Linked DNA regions of Macaca mulatta. The protein of the gene in region 2 interacts with the protein of the main gene of each other region in a biochemical or structural test. Links are inferred from orthologs where the notes say so. Each region holds a gene or a part of one and is shown on either strand. Other genes may lie near its edges.

Region 1 (4,851 bases), on a different chromosome or scaffold from region 2:
ATTCCAGGGAAGCTCCCAGACCTCCCAATGCATATCTATTAGAACCAAAATATGCCCAAGGATGCAACACTAAGGAACTGTGGTCTCTCAGATTAAGAGATTGGAGGAACTATGAAAAGAAGAAAAGGGCAAGATAAATTGAGGCCAACAGTGGGGCTGAGGGCTAGTGTCTTACCTTGACCATTAGACTCCATTCGAGAAGCAGTGTTCACTGTGTCTCCAAAAAGACAATAACGGGGCATCTTCAGGCCAACAACCCCAGCACAGACTGGCCCTATGAGAAGAAACAGGTTGGGAGAGTCTGGGAAAGGTGGAGATTAGGGCTGGAGTGAGACTCAGCCTTACCAGTATGGACCCCTATGCGTAGCCTCAGCTGGTCATGGGGTCGGTGGCGGATGCGAAAGGAAGAAACTGCATCTAGTAATGCTAGGGCCATACGAGCAATTTCTGGTGCATGCCGTTGACCATTTCGGCCTGGGAGGCCAGATACCACCATGTAAGCATCCCCAATCGTCTCCACCTGATTGAGAGGGGGATTAAAAGGTCACCTCTATTTGTATCCATGGGGATGGGAAAGAGTAGAGGGAGACAAGCTGGACATCATCCTGACATCCTGGAGGCCAGAATATTGACTAGAAAATAAGTGCCATGGTCCTGAGAGTCTAGGGGAGACGAGATGTCAAGGGAGTCTTTAAGTCCTCTTTCTCCACCCAGCACCTGGTGAATACTCAGTACACATTTGCTGAATGAATGAACACCCTGTCTGCAGCAGGACATGGACAAATAGGCTCTGCCATCAGGAAATGGGAAGCAAGACAACAGGCTAAACTCAAGAGGACAGAGGCTGGTAAGGAGGTAAAGCAGGCCCAATGAAATGACCAGACAGCCCAAACTGTCAGGAAGAAAGCAGGCATTTGATGCTGGTAATTGTACCAAAGGTATGTAAGAGAATGAATGTCATTGTTCTGCCACATGCCAAACAATGTTAGGCACTTTCTATACAACAAATCTATTATTCCCATCTTACAGATAAAACAACTGAGGCTCAGGGTGATTCTGTTACTTACCTATAAGGCCACATAGTTAGTAACAAGCCAATATTCAAATTCAGATGATTTTTACTCCCAAGGACAATAAATCCAACTCAATGACTTCAACAAAAAGTTTTACTTTTTAAAATATATTTTCCCTCACCCCACTAAATCAGTCTGGACCCACATCCTATATGATTCTTCCATGTCTGGAGAGGACTGGAGAGAAATGTTGGATTGGCTGCATTTATACTCCAGGGAGATAGGAGCTAAATCTCATGATGGTTCTAATTAGGGAAGCCAAAGGATTCACAAGAAATTCAACTGGAGTGTACAATGACAGTGCTGGAGCTACATCTGTTTACAAAGTACACTCCAGCACCAGGATGCTGGGACCCCTGGAGGGAAAGCTGATCATGGGGTGGGTAAGGTGTGTGGGGTTCAGGGAGACTGGCTTTCAAAGGGGGTCTCTATTAAAGAGTCTTCTATTGAAGAGCCACCCCAGCTCTCACCTTGTAGACATCAAAGTTGTCAATTATGGCATCAAAGCAGGTATACAGGTCATTAAGAAGTGTCACTACCTAAAAGGGATAGAAAAGCAGAGGCCCTGAAACTTGTACCCAACTTTCTAAGAATTCTTAACCCACGAGCCATCACAAGATGTGGGAACTCTAGAACAAACTCATCTTCCCTGTTATCAATGAGGCTTCCCCAGGTCCCTACCCACCCGACCCCACCCGCTACCTCTCACCCATGGCTCTCACCTGCATGGGGGTGCTCTCTGCTGACAATGCTGTGAAGCCAACAATGTCACTGAAGTAGATGGTAACACTGTCAAAGGCCTCAGCCTGTACAGTCTCTCCCCGTTTTAACTGCTCTGCCACTGAACTAGGAAGCAAGGGTGCTGTGTGAGCCAAACTCCAAGAGAGTAGGAGCAGAAGAGAGAGGGAAGGTGCATGTGGCTGCAGCAGATATGAGCTGAAACAAGAAAGCTGGGCTTTGCAAGTGGGAGGGAGGAAAGTGGCTGGGAAGACATTACAGTCAAATGCAAGGTAAGGCGCACAAGTGGCAGGGGCTTTTGAGGAGATCCCTGTGCATGGGAGCTGTCTCAAGTTGGGACTGTTTTACATACACTTGCTGAAGCAAGGGCATGGTAGAGCAGTGTTGTAAGAAGGGATGGGAAGCCAGTAAGAAGGCAGCACAGCTGATGCAAAGACAGAATGACAGCAAAAAATCTATAGCCAGGGGGACTCCCTGTGGCCAGCAGCGTTCTGAGGGTCGGGAGGCAAGTTCGCAGGTGCCTGATGAGGCAGAGCCCAACAGAGCAGAATCCCAAAGGAAAATTCAGGAAGGGGGACAAAGTCTCACTGGGGTAGAATTTGGTAGAGCAGAGCCTCAGCCTTGCGTTTTTCCTCCAGATAGGCCTGTGTGCGTTCCTCCACCAGCTTCTCCAGGTTATTGGCATACTGTTCCATGCGCAGCAGGAGATTGTCCAATATGCTGGTGCCACCCTCCCTGTGGGGAGGCCAGGATATGGCACTTGCTCTAAGATTCTGAAGACTCCCAGGACTTCCTATCCAACCCACCCTCTGGTCCCACCTGCCCCACTTCATGCACTAGGACTAATGAGGCTTCTATCCCTGGGAAGCCCCTGCCCTATAATGCCCTCTCACTTGTTAAAGCGTCGAATGAAGCCCTTAATCTGTCCAAAGTCTGGCCGCTCAGCTGGGTCCTGAGCCCAACATCGCTCCATCAGCAAAACTAGCTCTTCATTCAGCTGGGTCCGGTCAATGCTTGGTCGGAAATATGGCCGCTGACCATTTCGTACCTTCTGGACAATCTCTGAGGGTGATCAAAGGTTTGGATGAGGAACTGAGTTCCCCCAGGAAGAAGAGGCTGTGGGTAGTGGATTGACTCTTACCTTTGGGGCTGAGGTCCAGGCCCTCCAAGTAGAAAGGACCACTGCGAAGTGCTATCTCCTGCAGGATGATCCCAAAGCTATAGACATCAGCCTTCTGCATGCCTGTGGTTGGCAAGGGGTTCCCACTGAGCAGTTCTGGGGCAGTCCACAGCTTCTCTGAAAAGAGGAAACAGGCTGGCCAGGTCCCCCAAAATGGGGTACCCCCAAGCCCACCTGGGCTCATCCCTATATTACTGTCACTCCACCTCCCTCTCCCACCATCCCTAGGTGGAAAGAGCAGCAATATATAAAGTGGGTTGTGGGGGTGGGCCTCACTGGCATAGAGGGCATGGCTGTCATCAGGTTCAGCAGTTGATCGGAAGCTGGCCAGGCCATAGTCTGTGATTTTGAGCACAAAACGACTATCCACCACACAGTTGGAGGACTTGAGACTCCCATGCGATGAAATAATGCTGTTGTGGAGAAAGGCCATGCCCTGCAAGGTACAGATCAAGTCATGGGACTAGATCATATCTGGCTTAGAATACCCTCTCTCCATGAGATGGGCGCTGGCTAGCTGTCTACAGATCTTAGGTCCACAAAAATAATAAGCTGATTTTGGAAGGCATCCTTTGCAGCTTCCACCCAAGGAAGCAGGAAGAACAGAAGAGTCATCTCTTCCTGGTATCATAAGCAGGACACAGGCACCCAGCCACCAGGGACAGGGAAAATGCTTAAAAAGATGGATAAGTGGAGCTACCAGTGACTACCCTGGAAAGGGCAGTCAATCTTGATTAGTGAAGAGAACAGAACTTGGGTGAAGACCAAAATGATATGACACCCATGGTGGCCTCAGATACCTGGCTACTAATTAGAAAGACATGACTTGAGACCCAGGTATCAAGAGTAGCTGGATATACCAAGGAAGACCAGTTGTAAACTTAAATGCATAACCATGTGTAGGTGGGCAAGTCCGGGTAGAGGAGGAATAAGATCTACTAGAGGGAATGCTGGATCAGAGAGAAAGTACAGAACATCATAAATCAGAAAAACCTGGAAAATGGACAAAATCTGCTAAGCCAGTGCAGAAGCCTAAAACTGCTGGCTCCGTGGGTCCACAGAGGGAAGAACATTTGCCTCTGAAGAGCTGAAAGACGGCCTTAAAGGCCGGGCTCAGTGGCTCATGCCTGTAAACCCAGCACTTTGGGAGGCCAAGGCTGGCAGATTGCTTGAGCCCAGCAGTTCAAGACGAGCCTGGGCAACATGGTGAAACCCCATCTCTACCAAAAATACAAAACTGAGCTGGGCACGGCAGCACACGCTGTGGTTCCAGCTACTCAGGAGGCTAAGGTGGGAGAATCACTTGAGCCCAGGAGGTCAAGGCTGCAGTGAGCAGTGATCTAGCCACTACACTGTAGCCTGGGCAACAGAATAAGACCCAGTCTCAGGAAAAAAAAAAAAAAAAAAGTCTTAATGATGCTCCCCAAAAATGAAACCCTAGGAGCCACCCAAGTCCGTTCAGGTGAGACAGAAAGAGGATACAAGGTTCAATATGCTAATGAAAAACATTTTTGTCTAAATGTTTAGCTCTGGACTTAATTCATAACTCTAATGTCTAATCTCTAATCTCTATGAACTCTTCCTTTTTATTTCTTTTGGTATCAACAAAACTTTTGGGAATCTCTGAAGTTGTGAATTTACTTGTGTGGAAACTGTGCAAAGGATGCCTTCAAAAATCACAGGATTAGGCTTCTGGCTTTGTTGTAAATCACTTTTCCACCAAATCACTATTCTCTCAAGAGTCGTGTTTTTCTTATATTTATCATCACTCCTCTAGTTGAGCATGACATTGGCTTTACTAATATTTTATCTCTCACTTGATAGCAAATTTTCACACACAAAAAAATACTTTTTAAATAA
Region 2 (4,764 bases):
AGACTATGGAGTTTCACTCTTGTTGCCCAGGCTGGAGTGCAATGGTGCAATCTTAGCTCATTGCAACCTCCACCTCTCAGATTCAAGTGATTCTCCTGCCTCAGCCTCCTGAGTAGCTGGGATTACAGGCACACACCACCATGCCAGGCTAATTTTTGTATTTTTAGTAGAGACGAAGTTTCACCGTGTTGGCCAGGCTAGTCTCGAACTCCTGACCTCAGGTGATCCACTGGCCTCGGCCTCCCAAAGTGCTGGGATCACAGGCGTGAGCCGCCACGCCCAGTCTAAACAATCTTAATTGATGTCATTAGATATCCATAAATCCTCAGATGCACACTGGGTTAAAATGATAAATAACACAAAGGCCCACCCTCTAGGTCCCTCTCATTCAAAGAAACATCTGATGAGAACATCAGAAAGGACTTGAGAGTGAAGTTCAAGGCCAGGAGCGTGGGGCTCAAGAGTTGGAGAGCGCAGGCTCGAGAGTCACCTGGATCTCCGCTCAGTTCCCAGCACCAGCGCTTCATTGCTGTGTGCTCTTGGATAGGACGCTTGGTTTTCCTGGGTCTGTTTTCCCATTTGGAAAATGGGCATAATAATAGTGGACCTCATGATGCCTTACCCCTCAGCTGAGCTGGCATTATAAATGGCATTGTAAGAAAGGGAATGACATGAGGCCCTTCCCAGGAATCTGAAAGGAGAGGAACTCGGCACTGTGGGAGGCCTGGATTGCAGGGTGTGGAGGAAGGGGACCCATAGGGGAGATGGCCTCCCCACTGGTTAAGGCAAAGAGAAGAAGAGATGATGCAGCCCCAGGGGAGGAGCACCCTGGAAAGCTGGGCCGATCACCAGACCCCTCTCACTTTGTGGGTTGGAGTTTTGAAGGCTCTTTTGTGGGATGATCCCAGGAATTGGAGTTTCAAAGCTGATATTTGGGGCAGGATGGAGGGCTCACCCCCGAATGGGAATGTAGATGAGCCACACACACACACACTGCCCCCAGTCACTGACATTTTAGCTGAGACCTGAAAGCAATAATCCCCAGGGAGAGTGCTTTAATGGTGGAATTCCAGGCAGAGCAAGGACGAGTGGAGAAAATGGCTGGACACATGCCCTCAGGTTGCACACATATGTCAGGACCCGTTCCACACCCAGGAAGAAACTGCCCTGCTTTGAAAAGCAGTTTCTCCCAAGTGCCTCAAGTACTTGAGATATTTAATAACATTTCAGAGCATTAAAAACTCTGAAAGAAAAGAAAGCCTGCTACCGCTACCCTTGAGGCCATGTCCCCATCCCACCATGCCTTGAGATCACAGGGCTTTGTGGTTTTTGTTGGGTTGGTTTCTTTGAAATTAGGGATTATTTTTAATGCGCCAAGACAAATCAGTTTCAAAAGATAAAGCTTATAATGTTGACTTTATTTCACCATGGACATTTTGTGCTCAAAGGTAAGAAACCATCTTATATAAAACAATCAAATAAATACATAAATACATTTAAAAAAAATAGAGTCACTTCAAAGATGGCCACAGGGTTGAGGAAAAAGCTCCTTGTGGAATCAGAAGCAGGTGTCTGCAGCCAGGACTTCCTCTTAATGTCGCCTCAGCACTGTCAGGGCAAGACAGAGGGTGATGATGGTTAGGGTGGGAGATGGAGGCAGGGGCTGAGCTTCCCTCACCGTGTACCACCTGCCACCCTGTTAGTCATCAGACGTTTGAAGCTTAATGCAACTCTCTGAGCCTCAGTTTCCTCATCTGTAAATTGGGGATTATCATCGCTCTGGTGATCCTGCTCTCTGCCTTTGAGACTATAGACAGTTTAGAGGAAACCAGGAGGAGATGTTTGGTTCTCTTTCTGCACCACTGAGGGGCTGCCAAATGATAAACAGACCCCAAAGGAGATTCTGCCCGTTTGATAAGAGGTAGGAGGTGAGGAGAAAGTGTTGCGGGCATGGTAATGAAAGAGGCCCACATTTACTAATTCCACAAAGGCACCCCTTGGCCCTGAAGGCTGTTAACAAGAGGAAGTGATGTCCAGGTGACCTTTTCTCAAAGAGTGTGGTTCCCAGAGACAACAAACCCCAAAGTGACTCTAAAAGTGTCACACACTGGAATGGGGGCAGGCGGCCGGGGTGGCAGGGGTTGCTCACCTTTGCAGCCCAGGCCGCTGGAGGAGCTGATCCGGTCCATCTTCCTCCCAAAGCAGCCAGACCCTCGTACCATCTTGGGGCTTCGCGGTGCCCTCAGGGTGTACAGGACCATTTTGCGGTGGCCACGGATGCCCTCAGTGGCTGCCTCCTGGGCCTTCCAGATACCTGTGGGACGGGGGCTCTCCTGGGGGGGCTCCAGGGATATCTGCTCCACCTGCAGCTCTGAGAGTTTGCCCTGCAAATGGTTGTGCTGCTCCTGCAATGGATGAGGGAGTCCAAGCCTCAGGGACCCATCCCTGGGCTCACCTACCCTTCATAGCACCCAAGTGAACTGACTGCCTTGGGTACAGGGTCATGGCAGCCAATCTCTCCATTTTCTGATTCCTTTATCACTAATTCCAAAGGAAAGGTGAAGGCCTCTTGGGACAGCAGGTGAGGACCCTTTCATTGCTGCTGTCCATTCCCCCTGAGTTGCCCTCCGCTCTCACCTGTAACCCAGACGTTTCCAAGTCCAAGGCCGAACTGCCCAGTGGGTGGGAACGACCTCCCGGGAGAGCCAGGTGCAAGAAGAGCAGAAGCAGGAGCACCCGGGAAGGTGCTGTCTGGGGATCCATGTGTCTGGAGGGACTGCGGAGGCTGCTGCTGCTGCTGCTGCTGTTGCTGCTGCTGCTGCGATGTGTCCGGGTTTGCTTCCCACCTGCCCTCAGCCTGCGGGTGCTCCTCCTGGCTCCTCGGGATACCGTGGCCTTTTATCCTGGAGCTGAGTGTCCGCCCGCCCTGCCCTGCAGGGTTATCTCTGATTTATCAGCCACATTCCGGACCGCTGAGATCAGGGCCCGGGAATGATCCCCTCCGCGCCTGCAACGCGGGAGGTGGAGACCGGGCAGAGCCGACCTTGTATAGAAATGGGCCAGGTCGGGCAGGGGGCAGGAACGCGCTGGAGACACAGACAAGTCCACGTCTCCCGCTTCTTCCTTTCCTGCAAAAGCCTGGGTGTCCTAGGTTGGCGCTTGCGTCTTGCCTCCCCACCCACTGTTGCTGGAAAAGGCAGGGAGAACCCCGGCGTTCCGAGGCCCGACGTGAGCGCGGGGTGCACAGGGTGACTCAGAACGAAAACAACCCCGGCCAACACCCCGCCACCCACGGCGTGTCTCCCCTTCCCTCCACGCGCGAGTTCCCTGGCCCGCACGTAGCGCAGCACCTGCTCGCGGCTGTGCACCCTGCTCGCCTGCGGGTCCTCAGGGCGCCCTGGCCGCTGTCCGTGGTGCTGATCGTCCCAAGGGAACTTGGAGCAAACTCTTAAGAGCTGCTCTCTTCGACAGGATTTTCAGGCCAGAAAGACCTGCGTAGAGCAGGGACAAGAGACCTCTGAGACCCTTCCCTATGCTCTCACAACCCCTCATCCTATAGCCCTTACAGCAACGGGTTGCTGATTCCCCAATGGCAGTTCATTAAAAGCCTGGGTATGACCAGGAACTTCTGGAATGCTGACCCTTCTTTCACCCCTTAAAGGGAAGAGCAGATTTCGCTGGAATTTTGAGAGACAGGGCCCAGTGATGACGAAGTCACCCAGGAATGCTTTATATGTGTGTCCTCCAGGTGTCAACACCTCCTCTCCCCCACCAAGCCAACACAGGATAGAAAACAAAAGTATGGGCTGGGCGTGGTGGCTCTTGCCTGTAATCCCAACACTTTGGGAGGCCGAGGCGGGCGGATCACAAGGTCAGGAGATTGAGACCATCCTGGCTAACATGGTGAAACCCCGTCTCTACTAAAAATACAAAAATTAGCTGGGCATCGTGGCACATGCCTGTAGTCCCAGCTGCTCAGGAGGTTGAGGCAGGAGAATCGCTTGACCCTGGGAAGAAGAGATTGCAGTGAGCTGAGATCACACCACTGCACTCCAACCTGGGTGACAGAGCAAGACTAAAAAAAGAAAGAAAGAAAAAAGAAAGAAAGAGAAAGAAAGAGAGAGAGAGAGAGAAAGAAAGAGAGAGAGAAAGAAATAGAGAGAGAAAGAAAGAAATAAAGAGAGAGAGAGAAAGAAAGAGAGAGAGAGAGAAAGAAAGAAAAAGAAAGAAAAAAGAAAGAAAGAAAGAAAGAAAGAAAGAAAGAAAGAAAGAAAGAAAGAAAGAAAGAAAACAAAAGGAGGGCTGGAATGGTGGTTATCTATTTGCTGAGACACCAGAGATATGGGGAGTTCCCCTCTCCCAGTGCCTCCTTCATCTGGTCACCCATGAACTAATTCTCATTAGCAGGTGTCCTGGGCCTCCTGTCTGTGATTAGAAATGAGACTTTGAAGAGAAATTGCCCTGGAAAGAGTCATGGCAGCTAAAATACCCACCTCAAGCATACAACTGATGTCACTCGCCTTCCAGAGAATTGGGGTCAAGAAGCAGCAGGCTGGAGGAGTGGAGCTGTCTACAAGGGGAGAAGAGTTATGGCAGAGAAGGGCAGCAATAAGAAACTGGGACCTCTAAGCAAATCTTGCCTAAAAAATAGCATCTGCCCCTGAGGTGAGAAAAGCATGGTTATTATTCCTCACTTCAGACGAGGAAATGGTGCTCATGAATTAATCTACTTTCCAAAAGTCACACAATTGACACATGACAAAG
Region 3 (4,414 bases), about 120 Mb from region 2:
TGACGTGAACCTGGGAGGTAGAGCTTGCAGTGAGCCAAGATCACGCCACTGCACTCCAGCCTGGGTGACAGAGCAAGACTCCATCTCAAAAACCAAAAATAAATAAATAAAAAATAAATAAGGATTTGTTTTAATATCTACTATGGCAAATATCAATAGATAGTCACATAAACAAAAGCTCTTTAGGTCCTTAATACTTTTTTTTTTTTTTTTTGAGGTTGAGTTTCACTCATTTTGCCCAGACTGGACTGCAATGGCACGATTTCGGCTCACTGCAACCTCTGCCTCTCGGGTTCAAGCAATTCTCCTGCCTCAGCCTCCCGAGTAGCTGGGATTACAGGCGACCACCACCATGCCCAGCTAATTATTGTATTATTATTATTTTTTTTTGAGACAGAGTTTCGTTCTTGTTGCCCAGGCTGGAATGCAATGGCGCGATCTCGGCTTACCACAACCTCTGCCTCCCAGGTTCAAGCGATTCTCCTGCCTCAGCCTCCTGAGTAGCTCAGACTACAGGCACGGGCCACCATATCCAGCTAATTTTTCTATTTTTAGTAGAGACAGGGTTTCCTTATATTGGCCAGGATGGTCTCGAACTCCTGATCTCGTGATCCACCCGCCTCGGCCTCCCAAAGTACTGGGATTACAGGTGTGAGCCACTGCGTCCGGCAACTAATTTTGTATTTTTAGTAGAGACTGGGTTTCTCCATGTTGGTCAGACTGGTCTCAAACTCCTGATCTCATGTGATTTGCCCGCCTCAGCCTCCCAAAGTACTGAGATTACAGGCGTGAGTCACCGTGCCTGGTGTTTTTTTTGTTTTTTTTTGAGACAGAGTCTCCCTCTTTTGCCCAGGCTAGAGTGCGGTAGTGCCATCTTAGCTCACTTCAACCTCTGCCTCCTGGGTTCAAGAGATTCTCCTGCCTCAGCCTCCCGAGTAGCTGGGATTACAGGCACATGCCACCACACCCAGCTAATTTTTGTATTTTTAGTACAGATGGGGTTTCACCATGTTGGCCAGGCTGGTTTTGAACTCCTGATCTCAGGTGGTCCATCCGCCTCAGCCTCCCAAAGTGCTGGGATTACAGGCATGAGCCACTGTGCCCGGCCAATAATAATAATTCTTAAGGGTGTAAATGGGTCCTTAAACCAGTTTCAGCACTGCTGGGCAATTCATAGGCTGTTACTACTCTCAGAGCCTGCATTCCCAGCTTAAGAATCGAGTCTTTTTTTACTTCTTCTTCTAGGCCCTTGTAGAACAAGAAGCGAGAGTCTTATTTGAAGTAGAGAGTGGAGAACTGACTGTTTTCTGGCAACCCTCTCTCCCTCAAGAAGAGACACTGTCACTGGAATAAAGATTTTAATTGTCTCTGCTCACAGTAGAAGCAAGGCATACAGGCCCCCAACCCTTCTGCGCCACCCCTCTTCTCCCCTGTGCACTGTGTCTATGGCTGCGTGGAGGGGGTCGGGGAATCAGGTATTGTGGGCCAGGCCCAGATGTGGGCTCCCCTGCCCTCACTTCACCTAGTCTCTTTTCTTGTTCCCCTTCAGGTGACTATTTCTCCTCCCAATAAGTCACAGGGTAGCAAGGCTGAGGGAGGAGAGCATGGGGAGGGGAGGGGAGCAGGAATCCACAGCCCAGCCCGGCCTGAGTCCAGGTGGAGAGCAGGTGCATGTGCCTGTGTGTGTGTCCCTGTGCATGGCCGTGGGCTTGGCTCAGCCTGTAAGCGCTGAGATCCCCCCATGCCAGTCCCCTCTCAGAGGTCCTATCTGGTGTCTTCACTGGGGTCAGCACACCTGAGCTATTCAAACGACTTCCATCCTTTGGTGATGGGGCTGCTGTGGGCGAGGCTGAGGCCTGGCACCTCTGTGGCTTCTGGCACAGGGTAGGGAGGTGTGGAGGGATAGGAGAGGAGGCAGGTCAGCCTCGGGTGCTACTCCCCCGCTCCCCCAGGAGCCAGTAGGTCCGAACCTTGCCTTTGCCCTGGAGGGAAAAAGAAGAGGATGGGCTGGTGAGTGGCACATGCCCTTTCCCCAGTCAGATGAGAGGCTTAGGGATGGGAGTGGTGTTGGCTGCTTGAGAAGGGTAACTCCTTCTAGGACCCCAAAAGGTGGGGAGGACAGAGGCTTCCCCCTCTACCTTCATTTCTACATCTCCTCGAAGCTCCAGCTCGAAACCACCAAACTCCTCCAGGACAGCCTTGGTCTCAGAAGACAAGTGGATCTTCAGGGCTGGGTAGGACAGGGGAGAATGGAAGGTGACCGATGTGAGACAGGAGAGCAGGAAAGTAGAGGCAAAAGAGACCAGGGACTGTGGGGGTGGACAGGTACCCTCTCTCCCTCTTTTCCCTCTCTAGCTCAGAGCGGCCCCACTCCCTGCATGTAGTGCGTGACATTAGCCTCTCACTTAGAACTCTGGAGCTGTGTAATCCAATACAGTAGCCACTAATCACGTGTGCCTGTTTCAACTTAAATTAATTTAAACTAAATACAGTTAAAAATTCAGGCTGGGTGCTGTGGCTTACACCTGTAATCCCAGCACTTTGGGAGGCTGAGGCAGGAGGATCACTTGAGGCCAGGAGTTCAAGACCAGCCTGGCCAATATGGCGAAACCCCATCTCTACTAAAAATACAAAAATTAGGCCGGGCGCGGTGGCTCAAGCCTGTAATCCCAGCACTTTGGGAGGCCGAGATGGGCGGATCACGAGGTCAGGAGATCGAGACCATCCTGGCTAACACGGAACCCCGTCTCTACTAAAAAATACAAAACACTAGCCGGGCGAGGTGGTGGGCGCCTGTAGTCCCAGCTACTTGGGAGGCTGAGGCAGGAGAATGGCGTGAACCCGGGAGGCGGAGCTTGCAGTGAGCTGAGATCCGGCCACTGCACTCCAGCCTGGGCGACAGAGTGAGACTCCATCTCAAAAAAAAAAAAAAAAAATTAGCTGAGTGTGGTGGCTCACACCTGTAATTCCAGCTACTCAGGAGGCTGAGGCAGGAGAATCACTGGAACCTGGGAGGTGGAGGTTGCAGTGAGCCGAGATTGCACCACTGCACTCCATCCAGCCTGGGCAACAGAGCGAGACTCTGTCTCCAAAAAAAAAAAAAAAAAAAAAAATCAGGGCCTCATTTGCACCCGTCACATTTCCAGTGATCAGTAGCCACATGTGCCTAGAGGCTACTGCATTGGACAGCACAGAATACAGAGCATTTTCATGACTGCAGAACATCCTGTTGAACAGCACTCTGGAATGTCACTGGGCTCAACACAGCATAGTGCTTAGGAGCTGGCAATTTGGATCCTGCACTGCCTCAGTATGAACCTCAGCTTGGATACTTGCTTGGGTATGTAATATAAATTCTCTCTGCTCCTTTTCCTAATCTGTAAAATGCTGATAGTGTCAGTACCTATCTCAAAACCTTGTTGTGACGATTAAATTCAACATCCATAAAGTATTCAAACAGAATGTGCTACCTAGGAAGCACTATGTAAATTGTTGCTTTCACGATTTAATAAATTATACCCTCATTTTGTGGCCGAGGACCTGAGGTCCAGGGTGATCTGCCCAAGTGGCTGAGGAGGTCAGTGATGGAGTGGGGCCCAATATTGCCACACCCTCTCTTTGACCACTGTCTGAACTCACGTCCTTACTTCTGGGGTTTGCATCAATCACAGCGGCCTTGTTGTGTTTAACAGTTTCTTTCTTTTCTTTTCTTTTCTTTCTTTCTTTTTTTTTTTTTTTTTGAGACAGTCTCTCTCTGTTGCCCAGGGGTGCAATCTCGAATCACTGCAACATCCACCTCCCGGGTTCAAGTGATTCTCATGTCTCAGCCTCCTGAGTAGCTGGGATTACAGGCACACGCCACCACGCCTGGCTAATGTTTTGTATTTTTAGTAGAGACAGGAGGTTCACCATGTTGGCCAGGCTAGTCTCCAATTCCTGGCCTCAAGTGATCTGCCTGCCTTGGCCTCCCAAAGTGCCGGGATTACAAGCGTCGCCGGCACCCAGAATGTTGAACAATTTCTGGCAATGTGCTCCTTGAGGACTGGACCTCAGCAAGGGGCTCTACTCTGACAGCTCCCAAAACAGTGCCCAGGGAATATCTGCCGAACTAGATCCCTCTGGGCTCCCAGAACTGGCTCCCAAGCAGCCTTTCTTTCACCATAAGGTTTAGATGGGGTCCACGTGAATTTCTCAGCTAACTCTGGGTCTGGATCATGTTACTATCCAAGGGCCTGGTATTCAGTAGTCACTCAATAAATGTTTACTGCATTGAATTATGTCGAATACAGTAGGAGGACGGAAGATAAACAGGAGGCAAGAGCAAGGGGCGGGTGGGAGCAAGAATTTATTAGGTGCCTACTGGGTACCAGGGTTTGTGCTAGGCTTCTTGCAATCCTGAGATAGACATCATTTT

What was found. The genes of interacting proteins can lie anywhere in the genome.
Region 1: the proteins of NPPB (region 2) and NPR2 form a complex in vitro, tested with the Homo sapiens proteins (3 studies listed by BioGRID). The link is inferred for Macaca mulatta from reciprocal best matches to the Homo sapiens genes NPPB and NPR2.
Region 3: the proteins of NPPB (region 2) and NPR1 form a complex in vitro, tested with the Homo sapiens proteins (2 studies listed by BioGRID). The link is inferred for Macaca mulatta from reciprocal best matches to the Homo sapiens genes NPPB and NPR1.

Annotation. Positions count from the first base shown.
Region 1 is NC_133420.1:63,890,511-63,895,361, forward strand, and holds part of NPR2 (atrial natriuretic peptide receptor 2), read right to left. Parts: intron 3,428-4,851; coding exon 3,268-3,427; intron 3,109-3,267; coding exon 2,953-3,108; intron 2,874-2,952; coding exon 2,705-2,873; intron 2,547-2,704; coding exon 2,400-2,546; intron 1,920-2,399; coding exon 1,796-1,919; intron 1,613-1,795; coding exon 1,544-1,612; intron 521-1,543; coding exon 346-520; intron 275-345; coding exon 176-274; intron 1-175. UniProt on the Homo sapiens protein: Receptor for the C-type natriuretic peptide NPPC/CNP hormone. Has guanylate cyclase activity upon binding of its ligand. May play a role in the regulation of skeletal growth.
Region 2 is NC_133406.1:228,871,481-228,876,244, reverse strand, and holds NPPB (natriuretic peptides B), read right to left. Parts: upstream 2,899-4,764; 5' UTR 2,764-2,898; coding exon 2,638-2,763; intron 2,406-2,637; coding exon 2,150-2,405; intron 1,609-2,149; coding exon 1,592-1,608; 3' UTR 1,398-1,591; downstream 1-1,397.
Region 3 is NC_133406.1:113,344,713-113,349,126, forward strand, and holds the end of NPR1 (atrial natriuretic peptide receptor 1), read right to left. Parts: intron 2,231-4,414; coding exon 2,102-2,230; intron 2,008-2,101; coding exon 1,805-2,007; 3' UTR 1,342-1,804; downstream 1-1,341. UniProt on the Homo sapiens protein: Receptor for the atrial natriuretic peptide NPPA/ANP and the brain natriuretic peptide NPPB/BNP which are potent vasoactive hormones playing a key role in cardiovascular homeostasis.